Arabidopsis thaliana: one gene and its partner. The protein of the gene in region 2 purifies or fractionates together with the protein of the main gene of each other region. This does not show direct contact. Each region holds a gene or a part of one and is shown on either strand. Other genes may lie near its edges.

Region 1 (5,102 bases), on a different chromosome or scaffold from region 2:
CAGAAAGAGGAAGATGTCAGGTTTTGGACATCGTGTTTACAAAAACTATGACCCCCGAGCAAAAGTTATAAAAAAACTGGCAGATGAAGTGTTCTCCATTGTTGGTAGGGATCCTCTCATCGAGGTACTGTAGATCCTTGTGCTCACGTATCTCTCCTAGTATTTGGTTGTCAAAAAAATTCTTATATAACATGACTGTGGGTTAAATTTTGTTTTGACGGATGATGTTTTCAGGTAGCAGTTGCTCTAGAGAAGGCGGCACTGTCTGATGAATATTTTGTTAAGAGAAAGCTGTACCCAAATGTTGATTTCTACTCTGGATTAATCTATAGGTAAGACATTGCTGATTCATCTGACATAGACCCTGTAACCATTAAGTTCTTTACCTGAACCTTGTGTTGGTAATTGAAATGGGGGAAAAACACAGGGCAATGGGATTCCCACCAGAATTCTTCACAGTCCTGTTCGCAGTCCCGCGTATGGCTGGATACTTGTCACACTGGCGTGAGTCGTTAGATGATCCTGACACTAGGATCATGAGACCCCAACAGGTAAAATACATAACTTGTTTGATAGATCAAAAGGTTTATAGTTTGAGCTAACTGAATTGTGTGGCTGCATATAGGCCTATACTGGAGTGTGGATGAGGCATTACGAGCCAGTGAGAGAACGAACGTTATCAAGTGATTCGGATAAGGATAAGTTTGGTCAAGTTTCCATTTCGAATGCATCAAGAAGGCGTTTAGCTGGATCATCTGCCCTTTAGTCTCAATCCTAATACTCACCAATAAAGAAGAAAACATTGGGATACCTCTGGGAAAACAAGAGAGTCTTCTCAACAACATGTGTTGTTTTCTTTCTCTTATTCTTAAACACTTAATAATACAACCCTATTCTTATTGTTTGTCTGTTATTTTAAAATGTTATGATTTAATAATAATAATCTTGTTATAGGGAACGACATGTACTTTTGATAAATTGCGCTTTTATTCCTGTTAATGTTAATTTCTGAAGACATGTCTAACACATTGGTTTGGAAAATGTCAACCACCAAATCATATCATTTAGGATTAACTGAATGTTATTTTTAGGGTGAATATGTTATGCAGATTCCAAGTGATAACAATAAGCTAACCACTCATTGAACATCATATCATATTTTTTTGTACGGTATTTATAATTTGCCTGAAAGTTTCCTATCATTTTGCATTATTGCCAATAATATTTCCATTTCAAATGAGAACAATTGTGAGAAGTGTGAACAAATATAAAAGAAAAGTGACGTTAAATAACAAACCCTGGAGTACCTGACACTGATTAACAGAAAGAAGTAAGAAGCAACCAAAACAATACATAACTGTCGCAGAGACACATACTTAAAATTGGTTAAAAGCCACAAAACTCTGATTGAAGACAAAGAAGACACTGTAGATTCACGCCAATCATACCCACAAAAGTATTAAGACAAAAGTGTTACGTAATGAAATTATCAAATTTCCCCACTATAAAACCATGCATGCCTATATATCACTTTGAACTACAACAGCCACTTGGTTTCTTATTCGCTTCCCTTTCTTGAATTGTGATCTTTTTGAGGTGACAAATGGAGATTTCGGAGAGAGCTAGAGCTCGATTAGCCGTTCTCAATGCGCACTTGACAGTATCTGAGCCGAATCAGGTGTTGCCAGCGATCGAACCATGGTGCACATCGGCTCACATAACCGCTGCACCGCATGGATCGCTTAAAGGAAATTTGAAGATCGTCGATGAGCGTACGGGGAATGAATATCAGGTCCCAGTCTCAGAGCATGGTACCGTTAAAACCGTTGATCTCAAGAAGGTATATATAATGAGTTTTTATGCTGAAGTTATTTCTTCATTGTGGCCATTAGTACTACGAATAGATTGTTTTTTGTATATTGTGTGAGTGTGTATAAATGGATTTTCATGTTTGGTGTGAAGATAACGACAGGGAAGGATGACAAGGGGCTTAACTTATACGATCCTGGTTACTTAAACACGGCTCCTGTTCGATCTTCGATTTCTTACATCGATGGAGATGAGGGAATCCTACGTTATCGGGGATACCCAGTTGAGGAGTTGGCTGAGAAAAGTACTTATACAGAGGTTACTTATCTCCTAAGTAAGTCTTGATCATCTTGTATAGCTCATTGTTGTTGCTTAATTATGATCATCTTGATCATCTTGTATAGCTCATAGTCTTGCTTTTGTGTGGGTATTTCTTTAAAATTTTGTCTCCCTTAGTGCTCTAGTTTACTACTGCTTTTTTTGTTTTTGCATGCAGTTTATGGGAATCTGCCTTCTCAAAGACAGCTAGCTGATTGGGAGTTTGCGATTTCTCAGAATTCAGCTGTGCCACAAGGAGTATTGGTGAGTTTCTTCTACTCTTTCCTAACTTTCTCTAGATCTTCGAGGTGAGATGATTTATCTGAATGTTTTCACAGGATATGATACAGTCCATGCCTAATGATGTACATCCAGTAGGAGCTCTTGTCACTGCAATGAGTGCACTTTCCATCTTTTATCCTGATGCAAATCCGTCTCTTATGGTAAGTTACGTTTTTATAATCCTGCTTTCTTCTGAAAATTTCCACGCCGACATGGAAATCCCCATTTGGTGCAGGGCCTAGGTGTTTACAAGTCAAAACAAGTTCGTGATAAACAGATTGTTCGTGTTCTTGGACAGGTATTGTTCTGTCTGTGTGATTTGGTGCCTCAATGTATAACCGGACTATGAATTATAATATAACGTGTCTGCAGGCCCCAACAATTGCAGCAGCTGCTTATTTGAGGAAGGCAGGCAAGCCTCCTGTTCAACCTTTGAGCAACCTTTCTTATTCAGAGAATTTCCTCTATATGGTGGAATCAATGTACGTTATTGTCCCTCTTTGTTTGATTTGGAGATGGTAGCCATAAAACTGTGCACTTGTTTAGTCTCATCTTCCATTGATTACAGGGGAGATAGGTCTTACAAGCCTAATCCTCGTTTGGCTCGAGTGCTGGACATCCTCTTCATACTGCAAGCTGAACATGAAATGAACTGCTCTACTGCTGCTGCTAGGCACCTTTCCTCTAGGTACTACTTATCATTGGTTAGAGATTCATTTGAGTCTGCTATGAGATACTTTTTAATCAGCACATAAATCCTCTGTTTATGTAGTGGTGGTGATGTGTATACTGCTGTTTCGGGAGGTGTTGGAGCCATTTATGGTCCCCTTCATGGTGGTGCAGTTGAGGCTACGATTAACATGTTATCAGAGATTGGGACTGTTGAAAATATTCCAGAGTTCATTGAAAGCGTGAAGAATAAGTAACTCAATTCTTAGAGAGTATACCTAGAATGTGATGGTCAATATTCCATTAATGTTAACTCTTTTTATTCCAGGAAGAGGAGGTTGTCGGGTTTTGGACACCGCATTTACAAAAACTACGATCCCAGAGGAAAAGTCGTTAAGAAACTGGCGGATGAAGTGTTCTCCATTCTTGGAAGGGATCCTCTGGTTGAGGTACTCTGTATTCTTGTTGCTCACGTTTCCTTGTTGAATCCTTCATATGTATGATGAATTTGGTTTAAGAAAATATTTGGTGTATAAATAATGTTTTCAGGTAGGAGATGCTCTAGAGAAGGCGGCACTTTCTGATGAATATTTTGTTAAGAGAAAGCTGTACCCAAATGTTGATTTCTACTCTGGATTAATCAATAGGTAAGACATTGATTAGTTATCTAACAAATTCTGACTAATGAGTTGTTGTAACCATTGAGTTCTTTCTTTATTTGAATCTTTTTTGTTGGTAACTGAAATGGGCCAAAACACAGGGCAATGGGAATCCCATCATCATTCACCGCAGTATCACGTATCGCTGGATACTTGTCACACTGGCGTGAGTCTTTAGATGATCCTGACACAAAGATCATGAGACCCCAACAGGTAAAATACACCTTTAATATATAAGTGACTTTGTTTAGATAACATTGGCTCATGGCTAATAAAGACACTTTTTGATAGATCAATGAGTAATTAAGTTTTCTTTTTTGCTCATGAGATTATACATTATGCATAGATACATACACTCTTGGATATATTAATGACTTGAACCTTCTTCTTTTTTTGGCTCATGAGTAATACAATTTTTAATGGATATATGCAGTTTTTGAATAGATCAAAAGTTTTTTTTGGCACAGGTCTATACTGGAGCGGGGATAAGGCATTACGAGACAGTGAGAGAAAGAACCAAGCTGTGATTCGGATTTGGATCAGTTGGGTCAAGTTTCCATTTCGAATGCATCAAGAAGGCGTTAGCTGGGTCAAGTCTCGTTCCTATACTACTAATATGAAATTTGACTCGGAAAGCCAAGCGAATATACAAATATATATAAAGAATATATATGCTTATATAAAATATAGTTTGGGTAAACCCCATCCGACCTCGAGTTAGTAATACATGTGTGTGTGTCTATGTATGTATAAGTTGTCAAAATAAAATAAAAATATTTGTGTATTATAGCATGTTTTTAAGAATATGATGTTGAACAATAATCATAAAGTGATAAAAACAGTTCAAATCTAAATTAAATATAACCGAAACAGTAAGAAGATAGTAGACAACAAATCAAGATGAGATTGGTAATTGAACATATATGCAGCAATAATGACGAAAACCAAAAGGGTCTTCTCAACAATGTGTGTTGTTTTCTTTCTCCTTATAGTTAAAACACTCAATAATCTACATACTATTGAATTTGTTTTTCATTTGTTTGTCTGTTATTTTAAAATTTATGATTTAAAACATATCTTAAGTATAGTGGTTCTATAATCAATTCCATCTAATAATTAAGTTGGTATAGGAAATTAAGACATAACTTTTGATAGATATTGTGCCTTTTGTGAGGAAAGTTCTAAAAGAAGATCTTCTTATTCTTCTTTAGTTAATATAACACATTGCTTTAGTTCTAAGATTTTTTATATATCACACATTGATTCGGAATAATTAGTTAACCACCAAATCATATCCTTTTAAAAAAATGTCATACAATATAGTGTTGAATGAGAGATTATTTTCTCCTCAACCATTTGGAAACT
Region 2 (6,219 bases):
CGGTGGCTGTGGAGGAAGAGGAAGAAGCGGTGGTTGATTTACCGAAGTGGGTTAGATCGGTGGTGAAGGAGGAATGGACGGCAGAGGTTTTTGATCCGGAGCTTTTGAGGTATAAGAACATAGAGGAGGAGATGGTGGCAATGCTTCATATCGGTTTAGCTTGCGTTGTGCCTCAGCCGGAGAAGAGGCCGACGATGGCGGAAGTTGTTAAGATGGTTGAGGAGATTAGAGTTGAGCAATCTCCGGTCGGTGAGGATTTTGATGAGTCACGAAACTCAATGTCTCCGTCGTTGGCTACCACCGACGGCTAAGTTTGGTTTCTGTCTGTCGATGTTGTAGAATACGTATCGTTTGGACCTTGTCGATTTTTAAGGTTCTTGCTTAGAATCCCTGATTTGCGAACTTGTCGGAGTTTTTTTAGCCATGTTTTGTGTTTTCACTGTTTGTGATCGTAACGGGGTTGTGTGGTTTTGTGGATTTATGAAGCCGTTTCAATAATAAAACCCCATTTGTTACTCTTTAAAGCCCATTAGGCCCATATGTTTTAGATGAATTATTTTGCAATTGCTGCTATTTAATTATAGAACCTAAAACTCGAACGCCCATTGATTAGTGCTTCTAGAACGGTGGATGCTTCTGTGTCCACTGGTAATTGTCTTTTTGGTTGAAGAGTCAGCCCTTCGGATTTGACCTTTCGTGTACCTTTTAAGCCCATTGATTATGATTGGCAGATTAAGTAAATTAACGAATGGTCAAGCACATGATTAGCCAAATCATGACAAATAAATGGATTCCTTTTTCATTTCTGGAAGCGGAATCTTGTCTAACAATTTTTTTAATTGATAGTAATATTTTATGTTATGGGTTTCTGATAGTTGAAGACTTGAAATGTTGAACTTAAAAGTGAAATTACGCTTTCATAATTTCATTAAGCCATGATGGCAAGTTTTTTTTTTGGGTTGAGGTCAACAAGAGCAAGTTTAATGGTATCGAATAGTGCGTAACTGAAATAAAACTTGTTGAAAAATCATTCATTCACTATTCCTCGGCGCGTGAGGCCAATTTGACCCCTTCCCCCACGAAATTAAACTTGGGGAGTACTAAAAGTCTAAACCAGCAACGTCGCTTTTCATGTGCCTTAATCACACCCTTTTCTGCCACGTGTACGATCTGGGACCGTCGTTGTGCTCATTGACATTTGTAGATCCCTTTCTAGATGTTCATTAAAATTACTTAATTTATATCCAGTCCTTCTACTTTTAGTTTTTTGATACTTTAATCCCTGTTGTTTTAATGATACTTCATTCAGTATCCATCCAAAATCAAATTAAATCCATAGATTAAGATGTACATTTTTGAAAATAATAAATGGTTTATTATAATATGTTACTAAATTTATGGTATTTTTCGCTCTTGTATTGACTTTTACATGGATACATTAATTTTAATCTTCTTTGATTTCTGTTAATTTTCTTTGAATTCATTTTATACATTTATTAGTGAACTATTCTAAAAATTAACAAAATCATTTAAACCGACAAAAAAAACTTTAAAAGATCAGCGTATTATAAACCAACGGGGGATAGTTTGCATTAGGTATTGGACATCTGGGGGGTAAATAGAGCGAAACAAAAGTTGAGGCTTGTTTTTCAACATTTTCATTTTATTGTGTGCTATTTAAACTGCGTCGTATTTGGAGGCATATTCGCCGGTCAAGCGTATCAAATACCCAATCACGCGAACTTTTCTCCGCCTCTTCTCCACTCCAAAATTCTTCTCCGTCTTTCTCCCGTCACCGTCGAATAAAGCCTGAGATCTCCGAATTCTGATCAGCAACTATGCATTCAAGTCATCTCCTTCTCGAGGAACCGATCAGGATGACTTCAATCCTCGAACCTTCTAAATCAGTGAGCTATTTATTTCTCCTTCTCTCGCTCTGTGTGTTTTCTGTGGTTGTTTTGATTTCCTTAGCTCGTTGTTGATTATCGATTACGTTTGGATCTGTTGCGATATTTCATCCATTTTGAAGCAGTGAGAGATTTGTTTCGTTTGTCGTGGTTTTTGATCCGCTTGATGTTATTTCGCAGAGTTTCTTCCCGGCTTTGACTAAGATTGTTGGGACTCTAGGTCCGAAATCTCGATCCGTCGAGGTGATTGCTGGTTGTCTCAAAGCTGGAATGTCCGGTAATTGCGATTACTTCACTATTTGATACGTGATTCGCCTGGGGTTCTCTTTACTGGTTACTGATGTGTCGTTCTTTTTGCAGTGGCTCGATTCGATTTCTCTTGGTGCGATGCTGATTATCACCAGGAGACGCTGGAGAATCTGAAGATAGCTGTGAAGAGCACTAAGAAGCTTTGTGCTGTATGTTTTCTCTTTTCTTTGGTTTTGCTCTGCTGGATCTTATTTGGTAATGCTTAATACCATGAATTAAGATTGTGGTTTATGGCTTTTCCAGGTTATGCTAGACACTGTAGGACCTGAGTTGCAAGTTATTAACAAGACTGAGAAAGCTATTTCTCTTAAAGCTGATGGCCTTGTAACTTTGACTCCGAGTCAAGATCAAGAAGCCTCCTCTGAAGTCCTTCCCATTAATTTTGATGGGTTAGCGAAGGTTTCTATATATAACCCTTACCGTTTATTTTTTGGGAGAAGATGATTATTGCTTCGTGTCTATAGGGTTTGATGGATGTTATTGTTTGATGTATTCAGGCGGTTAAGAAAGGAGACACTATCTTTGTTGGACAATACCTCTTCACTGGTAGTGAAACAACTTCAGTTTGGCTTGAGGTATAAAAGAATTTTGCTTATGGAACCACTCTACACTGTTCTCTGGAATTCAAATTTAGACTTTAGATGTTTTTTTTGTGAGAAGACTAACCATTTAAACAAACCTTCAGGTTGAAGAAGTTAAAGGAGATGATGTCATTTGTATTTCAAGGAATGCTGCTACTCTGGGTGGTCCGTTATTCACATTGCACGTCTCTCAAGTTCACATTGATATGCCAACCCTAACTGAGAAGGATAAGGAGGTAAGTGTTGCTTATAATTTACATATCTCAGTGACTGCTTTGCTCTGTCTCTAGTAATATTCTAGCTTATCTGTTCGAGTGCTTTAACTATTTTGTTCTGTTTTGGTTCTCTTCTAGGTTATAAGTACATGGGGAGTTCAGAATAAGATCGACTTTCTCTCATTATCTTATTGTCGACATGCAGAAGATGTTCGCCAGGTCCATATTCTTTTTCATAATATATTTTTTCCACCTTAGAAGTATGGCTACTTCGTTTGGGTTCTTTACTCACTACTAATTCTGAGCTTCTGATACGCTTGAATTATCATTTTTGTGCCACAACACAGGCCCGTGAGTTGCTTAACAGTTGTGGTGACCTCTCTCAAACACAAATATTTGCGAAGATTGAGAATGAAGAGGTAAGTGAAATGCATTTATTTTGCCTTTACATGTTTCCTCTGCAACTTTTCTGTGATGGTGCTGTACTGCTGTTTATATTTACCGATGTGTATTTGATTTTAGGGACTAACCCACTTTGACGAAATTCTACAAGAAGCAGATGGCATTATTCTTTCTCGTGGGAATTTGGGTATCGATCTACCTCCGGAAAAGGTATGATGTTGGTCAGTCAAATCAATACGTTTGGGTCCAAACCCCTACGCACTTTCTATGTAGATTGGTGTGTGACTGTGTGTCTTATTAGACGATTAGTGATTTTCTGGAACGAAGTACTAAGTTGACCGAAAAACTTGTAGGTGTTTTTGTTCCAAAAGGCTGCTCTTTACAAGTGTAACATGGCTGGAAAGCCTGCCGTTCTTACTCGTGTTGTAGACAGTATGACAGACAATCTGCGGCCAACTCGTGCAGAGGCAACTGATGTTGCTAATGCTGTTTTAGATGGTATACTTAGTTTCTGAAATATGTATTTTGTACTGCTTATAATTTATAGGAGGGAATACATATTTGTGGATCATAGTTTTGGTCATAACTTTAAGAGGGTTTCTTTCCTTTCGCTTCCTGCAGGAAGTGATGCAATTCTTCTTGGTGCTGAGACTCTTCGTGGATTGTACCCTGTTGAAACCATATCAACTGTTGGTAGAATCTGTTGTGAGGTAGGCTTTATCGTACTGTTCTAAAGTATTATTATTTCCATCACCTTCTTAGTATCTCAATCATCTTAGCCATGGTTTGTCATCTGATTTCTCTTATGCATTGATTACTTGTTTATAGGCAGAGAAAGTTTTCAACCAAGATTTGTTCTTTAAGAAGACTGTCAAGTATGTTGGAGAACCAATGACTCACTTGGAATCTATTGCTTCTTCTGCTGTGAGCCTCTCTTTTGTGTTACCTATGTAACTTAAAAGCTGACAAGTTGCCTTTCAAGTTTTCTAACTTAATGGCTTAAATTCTGCTTGATATCAGGTACGGGCAGCAATCAAGGTTAAGGCATCCGTAATTATATGCTTCACCTCGTCTGGCAGAGCAGCAAGGTTCACACCATTCCTTCCAACTTAAACTGTTCGTACATTTAAATTCTAATGTAGCTGTCTAATAAATGTTTTATCCATATCGTGAAAGGTTGATTGCCAAATACCGTCCAACTATGCCCGTTCTCTCTGTTGTCATTCCCCGACTTACGACAAATCAGCTGAAGTGGAGCTTTAGCGGAGCCTTTGAGGTAAACTTTCATCCTGATTGTGTGAATTTTGAAAAAGAATTGGGATTTTCTAATGCCACTTGTCAAGATTCAATGATTATGGTTGTTACTTGCTTATGACTGCATATACTATTTGGCAATTGTCCCCATGATGCAAAGGAATAACAACTCTTAAATGTGCTTTATAATTGAAGATAAAAAAGAAAGTTACCCTTTGGAATAATGTCACCTCTTATAGATTTCTATGTATGACTAGAAAAGCTTTTGTCATATCTGAATTGCATATATGGACTTTCTTTTGATTATTGCTCAAACTTAACATCGTGTTTGTGCCTATTGTTGTCTCAGGCAAGGCAGTCACTTATTGTCAGAGGTCTTTTCCCCATGCTTGCTGATCCTCGTCACCCTGTAAGTCTCTATTGCATAGAATTTGATTCATTGCAAAAAGATTCTTGCTTGCAAATTTAGTGCTATAGTTGCAATTGTAACTTTAGTGGGGTTTGAAACCGTATTTTCTCTAATGTATTGTGAATCCTCTTGTTCAGGCGGAATCAACAAGTGCAACAAATGAGTCGGTTCTTAAAGTGGCTCTAGACCATGGGAAGCAAGCCGGAGTGATCAAGTCACATGACAGAGTTGTGGTCTGTCAGAAAGTGGGAGATGCGTCCGTGGTCAAAATCATCGAGCTAGAGGATTAGAAGAAGCAGAGTGAGTCGTTGTCTCGGTCTTTTTTGTTCTGTTACTAATCAATTTTATTTCCTTCACTAAAACTCTTGGTGCCGTCCAAGAAAAATCCTTGCAATCATTGTTTCTCGCCGGCTATATGCTAGATACCGGAGTGAAAATATATCTCCTGGGCTTTTGTTTTCGTATTTAGGAGATTGATGTTTCCAAGTTATGATATAAACCACTTTCCACTTTATGCATAATATCTCCATCCCCTAGTAACCATAGTTCTATATACATTGTTTTATTGAAAATTAATTTTATTGATAAGAAATCCAACTAAGAATAAATACGATGAGTATATATTATGAATTACAAATCTGCAAAAACGTGGAAGTTTTTGGAGTCAAGGGCGATGAGCCTAAGAGCTGCAATGGCGGCAGCAACAGACATCAAACTGAAGAAGACAACGTTGAGCCAATGGCATAGCTTTTGCAAAGTATTGAGCTTATTGTTCTTAGCCTTATAGTACATGTGGTTGGCTAGAATGAATGTAAGGGGGAATGTGCTCACTGCACCAGTGAGGCTCATGAAGTCCCCAAGGAACGGCAAGAGTGCTGAGAGAAGCGTACTAACTGCTATGTACCCGCCTCTTGCCATGATCCTAAACAACAAGTTCTTTAATGCCAATGGGTTTCCTTTGATCCCAAACTTGGTGTCCATGTACTCATATGTTGGACTTGCAAAAATCTACAAAAATTGAGTAAGAACGGATTGACTAACACATAATTCTTTTCTCGAAGAGAAACTTACGTGCAACGAGATAACGGATTGAAGGATAGCGGAGATGTTAGCAAGGGCTTTAACCCAAAGTGGACCATTAA

The links. Proteins that work in one complex are often made in the same cells at the same time.
Region 1: the proteins of AT2G36580 (region 2) and CSY1 fractionate together in Arabidopsis thaliana (co-fractionation; one large-scale study listed by BioGRID). This does not show direct contact.

The regions. Positions count from the first base shown.
Region 1 is NC_003074.8:21,720,228-21,725,329, reverse strand, and holds CSY1 (citrate synthase 1), read left to right. Parts: upstream 1-1,539; 5' UTR 1,540-1,603; coding exon 1,604-1,840; intron 1,841-1,962; coding exon 1,963-2,143; intron 2,144-2,305; coding exon 2,306-2,391; intron 2,392-2,465; coding exon 2,466-2,570; intron 2,571-2,644; coding exon 2,645-2,707; intron 2,708-2,781; coding exon 2,782-2,891; intron 2,892-2,977; coding exon 2,978-3,097; intron 3,098-3,181; coding exon 3,182-3,331; intron 3,332-3,406; coding exon 3,407-3,527; intron 3,528-3,627; coding exon 3,628-3,725; intron 3,726-3,838; coding exon 3,839-3,950; intron 3,951-4,204; coding exon 4,205-4,264; 3' UTR 4,265-4,557; downstream 4,558-5,102. Other genes in the region: CSY2 (citrate synthase 2), read left to right, coding at 4-124, 235-332, 428-551, 626-766.
Region 2 is NC_003071.7:15,337,415-15,343,633, forward strand, and holds AT2G36580 (Pyruvate kinase family protein), read left to right. Parts: upstream 1-1,707; 5' UTR 1,708-1,838; coding exon 1,839-1,907; intron 1,908-2,087; coding exon 2,088-2,184; intron 2,185-2,267; coding exon 2,268-2,365; intron 2,366-2,459; coding exon 2,460-2,615; intron 2,616-2,713; coding exon 2,714-2,791; intron 2,792-2,901; coding exon 2,902-3,033; intron 3,034-3,150; coding exon 3,151-3,231; intron 3,232-3,359; coding exon 3,360-3,431; intron 3,432-3,534; coding exon 3,535-3,624; intron 3,625-3,767; coding exon 3,768-3,912; intron 3,913-4,035; coding exon 4,036-4,124; intron 4,125-4,242; coding exon 4,243-4,338; intron 4,339-4,434; coding exon 4,435-4,502; intron 4,503-4,590; coding exon 4,591-4,690; intron 4,691-5,017; coding exon 5,018-5,077; intron 5,078-5,214; coding exon 5,215-5,367; 3' UTR 5,368-5,672; downstream 5,673-6,219. Other genes in the region: AT2G36570 (Leucine-rich repeat protein kinase family protein), read left to right, coding at 1-311; ProT3 (proline transporter 3), read right to left, coding at 5,708-6,085, 6,149-6,219.